Arabidopsis thaliana: one gene and its partner. The protein of the gene in region 1 purifies or fractionates together with the protein of each later gene. This does not show direct contact. Each region holds a gene or a part of one and is shown on either strand. Other genes may lie near its edges.

Region 1 (3,142 bases):
CTCTATTTTTGTCGTAAACAGGTTACAAGGTTAACAATTAAAAACAGAATATATAAACAGAATATTTCTCCAAATATTGTCTTCTTGTTCTTAACTCTTAAGAAATGAATTTTTTTTCTTATTTCTTACAAAAATATGCAGTTCTTATTGAAAGATATATTTCTTTCTTTTTTATAAACAATTTAAAGAATAATTGTTTTTTTATTTATTCCTCAAATCTATGTTTTTAACTTCTTATCCTTGAGAAATAATTATTCAGTAATTTTATTATTGGAAGATAAATCTCTTTCCTAAATAATTATTAAGAATTATTTGACATTTACTTTTAAGAATTATTTAATATTATCCCCAAAAAAGGGTGTTATTTCATTTTCGTAACAGATAAAAATATTCCTTTTCTTATTTATTTGAGTCGTACACGCGGTGGTATATATATAGATTCTCCTCTAAAGCCACCGAAGTCGGAGAAAGGTAATGGCGTCGGGGAAGCTTCCGTGGGAGTTGGAGGAAGAGATACTGTGTCGGCTTCCACCTGGATCCCTTGTTCGGGTAAGATCCGTATGTAAACACTGAACGATCTTCTCAACGACAAATGGTTCATCAAGAAAAGCTTGGGTTGTGCACGTCCCCAATTTATCATCCTGCCCGAATCCAAGATTTATTCGATAGGAACCATCGGCCTGGACGACTTTGATCCGAAGATAGAGGTGCGTGAGCTAGCCTGTCAATTTCATTTTAAGGCTGAGAAGTGGGCATTTACCAGGATCACGGCTTGCGATGGATTATTGTTTCGTGACTTTTGGAACCAAGGGGTTACCATTTGGAATCCATGGTTAAGACAGGTTGGGTGGATCGAGTATAAGGAGGACAGAGATTTCCGTTTTTGCGGTGTAGGATACGATGCTTGTAAACCCGAAAAGGATTACAAGATCTTTGGGTATTTTAGTCGTTTCTATGACACTACACTGAAAATCGGCCACAGATTTGCGATCTTTGAATGTGCGTCTCAAGCGTTTAAGTTCATTGATTCCCCGGAATGGCCAATGCTGGCAGGTCGAGGTGAATATGTGTCCTTGAATGGAAATTTGTATTGGACTGCTTACAATGAAGATACTCGTGAGCATTTTCTCGGAAGCTTTGATTTCTCCACAGAAATATCCATGCACTTTTGTCTCCTTCCTTGTGGGAAGCATGTTTCTGGCTTACGAGATAAACTTGTCCTCACTGTATTTAAGGGCGATCAGTTTGCATTGTTAAAGCAATCTCGTATATCAAGTAATACAGAGATTTGGGTAACAAATGACATGATTAACTCTAGTAATAATGTGGTGTGGTTAAACTTGATGACACTGTCAATACCTGATTTTCCCTCGCTATTCCATCAGCTTTCTGATATTAGTTACTTCATCCATGACATGACCCTTATCCTGTGCTGTGACGACAATCAAACTGGAGTGGGTTGCATCTTTATTGCGAGGGGAGACTTCTGCAAGAAGATTCAAATAGATTCTGTCTCTCTTGGGTTTTCTCAATGTGTCCATCTTCCAAGTTTGACCTCGGTTCCTTTGGAATTCAGATCACTGCAAGTTTAGAATTTCGATTTTTCGAGTACAAACAGTCTTTGAAATGTGATTCTTTTTTCATGTCTTTTATATTATACTAGATAAATACCCACGTGTAGCGTGGGTTTGTTTTGAAAATTGTGAAGCGTGAGTTTGTTTTGAAAATTGTGAAAAACAATTATTGATTGTTTTTGCTAATTTATGTTTATTTTTTATTCGTTATTATGTAGTTAATTAATAAAACTAAAACTATCTTATGTAGTTACAATTTTTAAGATTATATCTTTTTTTTTTACTTGAAATATAACTCGTGAAAGACTTACTTGTCAGCTGAAACCTCTTGCTTATTCGCGTAATATCCTTCATCGTCCTCATGGCTCTCCTAGTTGGTCAGAAGGTACTTTATCAGCTTTCTCAATATCTATTATGGGTACAAAGTTGTTTTTATCCTTTTTGAATGGGATACATGGAACTCTCTCGTTTATATTTTCAGAGGATACAAAAGTTCTATCTGCGCAATACGGACCTAAAGCAAGAACGAAGAAGAACGAAAATGCTGAGAAGGCTTGTTTGAAGTCATATGGAAGCCTTAAACCGGATAGATTGGTAATCGTAAATGCGTTTAGTTTTTCAGAAAGAGGCTTGTTTTGTCGCTTGAGTATGTAGTACAGGTGATTCTTGGTTTTTAGATGTGAATTTCTTTTGCTTTGAATATTGATAGGAAAAGTTGAAAAAGAGTATGAAACGATACTGAAAAGGACGCTACAGAGTATTTGTGTTTTGAGAGTTGTTCCAAATACCACCACCTCAGTGATTATTCAGGTGAGTAACTATTCAATGTTGTGTATATATATATTGTCAACTTGAGTTGTATCTGATGTTTTCATTTTGTAATTTCTGTGTAGGTTGTACATGATGGTGGTTCTGTATCGTTTTTATGTTCCTTTCACCTTGGTAAACATTTACTAATGCTGTCTGAAACACATATAATCCGGTATAAACAATGTCTGTTTGAGTATTTATAGAGTTTATAGTAGTGAAAGTTTGTAATCCCATAAACTGAGAGTGTGAATATGTTTTTGTGTAACTTCTACCGTGGCCTCCATTCTGGCAGTTAGAAGGTATTAAACGTTTGTTCTAAAGAAATATGATGTACAAAAAGGGAGACTATGAAGGATAGAATTTACGAAGTCGAGAAATTTACCTTGAGATTCTTCTTCTTTCATATTGAACGATCTAGCAGAATAAAAAAAAAAATACAAAACAGTCATACAAAACAGTCTTTCAAATTACTTGTTTTCTTAGCATAAATCTCGAATAGCTTAGATATATTTAATTTGCATATTTATTTAGTTTTTTCATAATAATCATCTAATTTTTAGGCAAGGAATATGTGTATCATGTTTGGATTTTATTTTTTTCTTCAAGATTAGTTTAAAAATTAAATTAGTTTTAAATATTAACTGTTAATTAAAATAGTTAAACTAATGATTTTAGAAATGAGAATTATTTAAAATTTTTAAATGAAAAACTCAAACTTTAAGAAATCATTTCTTAATAATTTCACTATTACTTTTTCA
Region 2 (4,812 bases), on another chromosome or scaffold:
AGTTAGGTGTCATTGGCAATTTAATACAAGTTTCTAATTTGATGATATACATGCATTAAACGTGCTTTGCAGTTTGTGCATATAACGAAATTTAGTGTGTATTTTAAAAAGCATCTCCTTACTTGTGCCCTGAAGTGTATGCTTATAAATTTAGTTCTCATTGTGTCAGCAAACTGTGTGTTATCAATTGCCTTACTCCAATGGCTTCAATAAGCTTACTTCAAGTTTCCGTAGCTATCCTTTGCTTTCTCATCCTTCATTACTTTCTCTTCAAGAAACCTCATGGCCGGTACCCTAGGAACTGGCCGGTTCTCCGGATGCTACCCGCTATGCTCAAGGCGCTTCACCGAATCTACGACTACAGCGTGAAGATTCTCGAAACCTCTGACTTGACCTTTCCATTCAAAGGACCGCGGTTCACAGGAATGGATATGTTGCTCACGGTTGATCCAGCTAACATTCATCATATAATGAGCTCAAATTTCTCAAACTACATCAAAGGACCGGAGTTCCAAGATGTTTTTGATGTGTTAGGAGACAGTTTCATCACCACGGACTCGGAGCTATGGAAGAATATGAGGAAATCTTATCAAGCCATGCTCCATAGTCAAGAGTTTCAAAGGTTTTCAATGAGTACCATGACAAGTAAACTCAAGTACGGTCTTGTTCCCCTTCTTAATCATTTTGCTGAGGAAGGAACAACTCTTGACTTGCAAAGCGTCTTCGGGAGGTTCACTTTCGATACAATTTTCATCCTTGTAACTGGTTCTGATCCTAGATCTCTCTCCATTGAAATGCCTGAAGACGAATTTGCTAAAGCTCTCGACGATGTTGGAGAAGGGATTCTTTATAGGCATTTTAAACCAAGGTTCTTGTGGAAGCTGCAAAACTGGATAGGATTCGGACAAGAGAAGAAGCTCACTGAAGCTAATGCAACTTTTGACCGCGTGTGTGCCAAATACATATCAGCCAAGAGAGAAGAGATTAAAAGATCACAAGGGACTTCCAATGGAGGAAGTCAGGATCTTTTAACTTCCTTCATAAAGCTAGACACGACCAAGTACAAGCTCTTGAATCCGAGTGACGATAAGTTCCTTAGAGACAACATCTTAGCTTTCATTCTAGCGGGAAGAGACACAACAGCCACCGCTCTCTCTTGGTTCTTCTGGCTTCTCTCTGAAAATCCACATGTGGTAGCCAAGATTCATCAAGAGATCAACATCAACACTGATCTATCAAGAACAGGAAATAGCCAAGAGAATGTAGACAAGTTGGTGTATTTACATGGTGCGTTGTGTGAAGCAATGAGACTCTACCCACCAGTTTCCTTCGGACGCAAGTCTCCAATCAAATCAGATGTGCTTCCAAGTGGCCATAAAGTTGATGCAAACTCTAAGATTATTATCTGTCTTTATGCATTGGGGAGGATGCGAGCGGTTTGGGGAGAAGATGCATCGCAGTTCAAGCCAGAGAGATGGATTTCGGAGAATGGAGGCATAAAACATGAGCCTTCCTTCAAGTTTTTGTCGTTTAATGCCGGTCCAAGAACTTGTCTAGGTAAACATCTAGCTATGACTCAAATGAAGATAGTGGCAGTGGAGATATTACGAAACTACGACATTAAGGTTCTCCAAGGACAGAAGATTGTGCCAGCTCTTGGTTTTATATTGTCAATGAAACATGGTCTTCAAATCACTGTTACTAAGAGATGTTCTGCTTGAAATTATTCATGTATTAAATAAAAAAATCATTTTGGTTTGGTTTTGATTTGGTTCTTAGTTTTTTTTTTTAGTTTTACGGTTTAAGTAAACCGAAATCCTAATATTGACTGGTTCGGTATAGTTTTGGTTCAAAATTTGCGTGCAAAAAAAAGAAGAGACTGTGCAGTGTTGTTCCTTTCTGGGTTCTCATCGTCGTCAAGGAACAAGCTTTAACAGAGTTTAACATATATTAGGGTTCTTATCTCCAAAACCCACCTCACTCATGGCTGCCAAAGTTTCTGTCTCTCCCACAAGCCTCTTAAATCAGATTGTGGTCCGTATATCTCTAAAAAGTTGGCTTTTTTATGATTTCGATTCGATTTGGTTACAATGAAGCATGGTGTTTTCAATTTTTAGGTTCCAGGTGATGTTGTTCTTGATTTGTCAAACATGAATAACCAAACAATCAAGCTCGGAAGTGGCCTTCTTCAGGTTTCATCTTCTTCTCTTTCTTATGTGTTGTTTGAATCCTAACAATTATTCCAGTGGGCACTTGATTTGTGATATACAATTGCAACTAAAAAGGAATTGTAGATTGACATGTGTTTGTTTTTTTGGCTTATTTTAGGATAATGATGCTATCTCTGCCATGAGAGCTGGCAAATTAAGTTACTCCAAGCCTAATAAGTATTGGCTCGAAAGTTCTCATAAACGGGTGAGCTCAGTGGTCTTACTAATCTTCCCTTTCTGGTTGCTTCTCTATTGAGCTTCTTGTGGATTATAACTGTGTCATCTGCTCGGATACTAGGTCCACTTGATTAATCATGAGTAGAAAAGTAACAAATAACCTGGCACAATTGCATCATGAAGAATTGAAGATTTGCCTTTTGTAGCATTTTGACAATTTGATGCTTTTGTGGATCATTCTTGCTAGTTTTCTCCCTAGTTATTTGATCATATACATCTGGCTTGATAAGACAATTTACCATTTTTGGTTTTCAAAACTCTAGTAGAATATTGTTTTGTTAATTATCTATGTAAGTCTCGTTCTCTTTGTTGCTGACTCTGTTATTATGTTTTTTTTTTGCAGTATATACCTCGCCCTGATGATCATGTTCTTGGAATCGTGGTCGATTCTAGGGCAGATGTAAGTCCTTTGAAATCATTGCTTGTATAGATTCTTGTGTTGTTTTTGGATCCCTCTCAGACTGGTCATCTCTGAAAGCATTTTATTATACTTTAGTTGTCAAATACGATACAAATATATGTTTGTCAGTTTCCGCGACTTCAGTCCTCATTTCTCTGAGCCAATAAAGGTGAACTTGTTTGTTGATGGTCTTGGATCAGTAAATAAATAGGTGGGAGTATTGAAGTTATGGTCTAAAATCAGAAGAAAACTGATACCATTATTGGACAAACAAATGTTAATTGACTTTTAAATTATCAGCTGCAGTTAAGCTTTCTTGCATGAACTAACATCGCCTTAGTAAGTACTGAATTGTTTCTTTTACTCATCATGTCATTGCAGAATTTTTGGGTGGACATTAAAGGACCTCAATTAGCACTTTTGCCAGTTCTTGCATTCGAAGGAGGAACACGAAGAAATATTCCCAAGTTTGAGGCATGTACATTCTGATGACTCAGGAAGCTCTCTTGAATTCTCATTTGGGATATGACATTCTCTATGAATTGATTGTTTCTGGAATGTTCAAATTTTTGTGTACTAAACAGGTAGGCACTCTGCTTTATCTCCGGGTTGTCAAGACAAACATAGGAATGAATCCGGAGCTGTCTTGTACCGAGGGTAAGTTAAAAGCTTTGGAGGCTAAAACAGTGCTGCTTCTCTTAATCCCTTTTAAACTAATTGTCTCTTGTTTCTATGTATTAGCTAGTGGGAAAGCTGCATTATTTGGACCCTTGAGAGATGGTTTCATGTTTGAAACTTCAACTGGTCTTTCAAGAATGTGAGATATACTTCCTCATAAAAAATGTCTCCTTATACTTTATCTATCTTCTTTCGCCATTACAACTTTACTTTCTCATCTCTTATAGGCTGTTGAATTCACCAACGCGCCCGGTCATTGAGGCTCTTGGAAAGAAACTCTCGTTCGAGATAGCTGTGGGCTTAAATGGCAGAGTTTGGGTAAATGCGACAGCTCCACGTATAGTCATTATCGTGGCCAATGCAATAATGAACTCGGAATCTCTAAGTGGGACTCAGCAGAGAATCATGGTTGAGAAATTGCTCGCGATAATTTCAGACTAAACGTTATTGTTCTTGAAATGTAACTGAACCCTCATGATGCTCTTTATAGCAAGTGATTTTGATTCATTCAAATACAATTTTATACAGTAAAAGTGTAGTCTAAATAAAAATACATATGCCACATGACGAATGCTTAATCTGTATACAACAGTAGTCTAAAGGTTGAAGAAATGATACATAACATTGTTAAAGCGAGGGAGGCTCGTATCTGCATACACAATCATATATGTTTCCTTTTATCAACTTCTCAGCCAATCTCTGATTTTTAACCATTGCTAGCTGCCAAAAAGGAAGAGAAGGTTTCAGCCAAAAGTTTCAATAACAGTTCTAGAGCTGAAATTTTCTGTCAAGTGAGGTTTAAACCTTGAGAGCCTCGCATTGGAATTGAGCGTTGAAGTTGGTGTGAAGTGCTCTTCCCATACCTTCCAAGACAACCTGCAATATTGTTAAACATCAAATAAAGAACAAAGCTTCTCTTTTTTGATGTGTTTGAAGTTTATGTCAGGTAGAAAACAGAGAAGGTTTTGTAGATACAAGATCAGCGTCTTTGGCAGCGGCTGCAAGCTCAGAGCTGACTTGTCTGAGGTCGATACAAGGACTTCCACATCCATTTTCAACAACCATCAATGGTGCTGACGTTGAATCCTTCTTTGATCCATCCCCTGGATTTACCATCGCATCCACAAGTAAGCCTCCCATTTCTGCCGCTCTCCTCAAGATGTCACAGTGCTTCAAGAGTAAAGACCGAACAAAAGAGTTAGTTACATGAAAGAACATCATAAACACTGCACAGAATCGAAAGTTAAACCTTAGCAGCCCCAGCGACTATATCAGGCAGTTCCATAG

The links.
Region 2: the proteins of AT2G07110 (region 1) and AT4G32175 fractionate together in Arabidopsis thaliana (co-fractionation; one large-scale study listed by BioGRID). This does not show direct contact.

What each region holds. Positions count from the first base shown.
Region 1 is NC_003071.7:2,952,055-2,955,196, reverse strand, and holds AT2G07110 (exosome complex exonuclease RRP46-like protein), read left to right. Parts: upstream 1-1,988; coding exon 1,989-2,220; intron 2,221-2,283; coding exon 2,284-2,384; intron 2,385-2,467; coding exon 2,468-2,587; downstream 2,588-3,142. Other genes in the region: AT2G07120 (F-box associated ubiquitination effector family protein), read left to right, coding at 475-549, 606-1,592.
Region 2 is NC_003075.7:15,533,572-15,538,383, forward strand, and holds AT4G32175 (PNAS-3-like protein), read left to right. Parts: upstream 1-1,862; 5' UTR 1,863-1,983; coding exon 1,984-2,034; intron 2,035-2,117; coding exon 2,118-2,192; intron 2,193-2,328; coding exon 2,329-2,415; intron 2,416-2,790; coding exon 2,791-2,847; intron 2,848-3,228; coding exon 3,229-3,321; intron 3,322-3,431; coding exon 3,432-3,504; intron 3,505-3,588; coding exon 3,589-3,664; intron 3,665-3,752; coding exon 3,753-3,966; 3' UTR 3,967-4,031; downstream 4,032-4,812. Other genes in the region: CYP96A2 (cytochrome P450, family 96, subfamily A, polypeptide 2), read left to right, coding at 201-1,721; PANK2 (pantothenate kinase 2), read right to left, coding at 4,153-4,245, 4,330-4,401, 4,501-4,695, 4,775-4,812.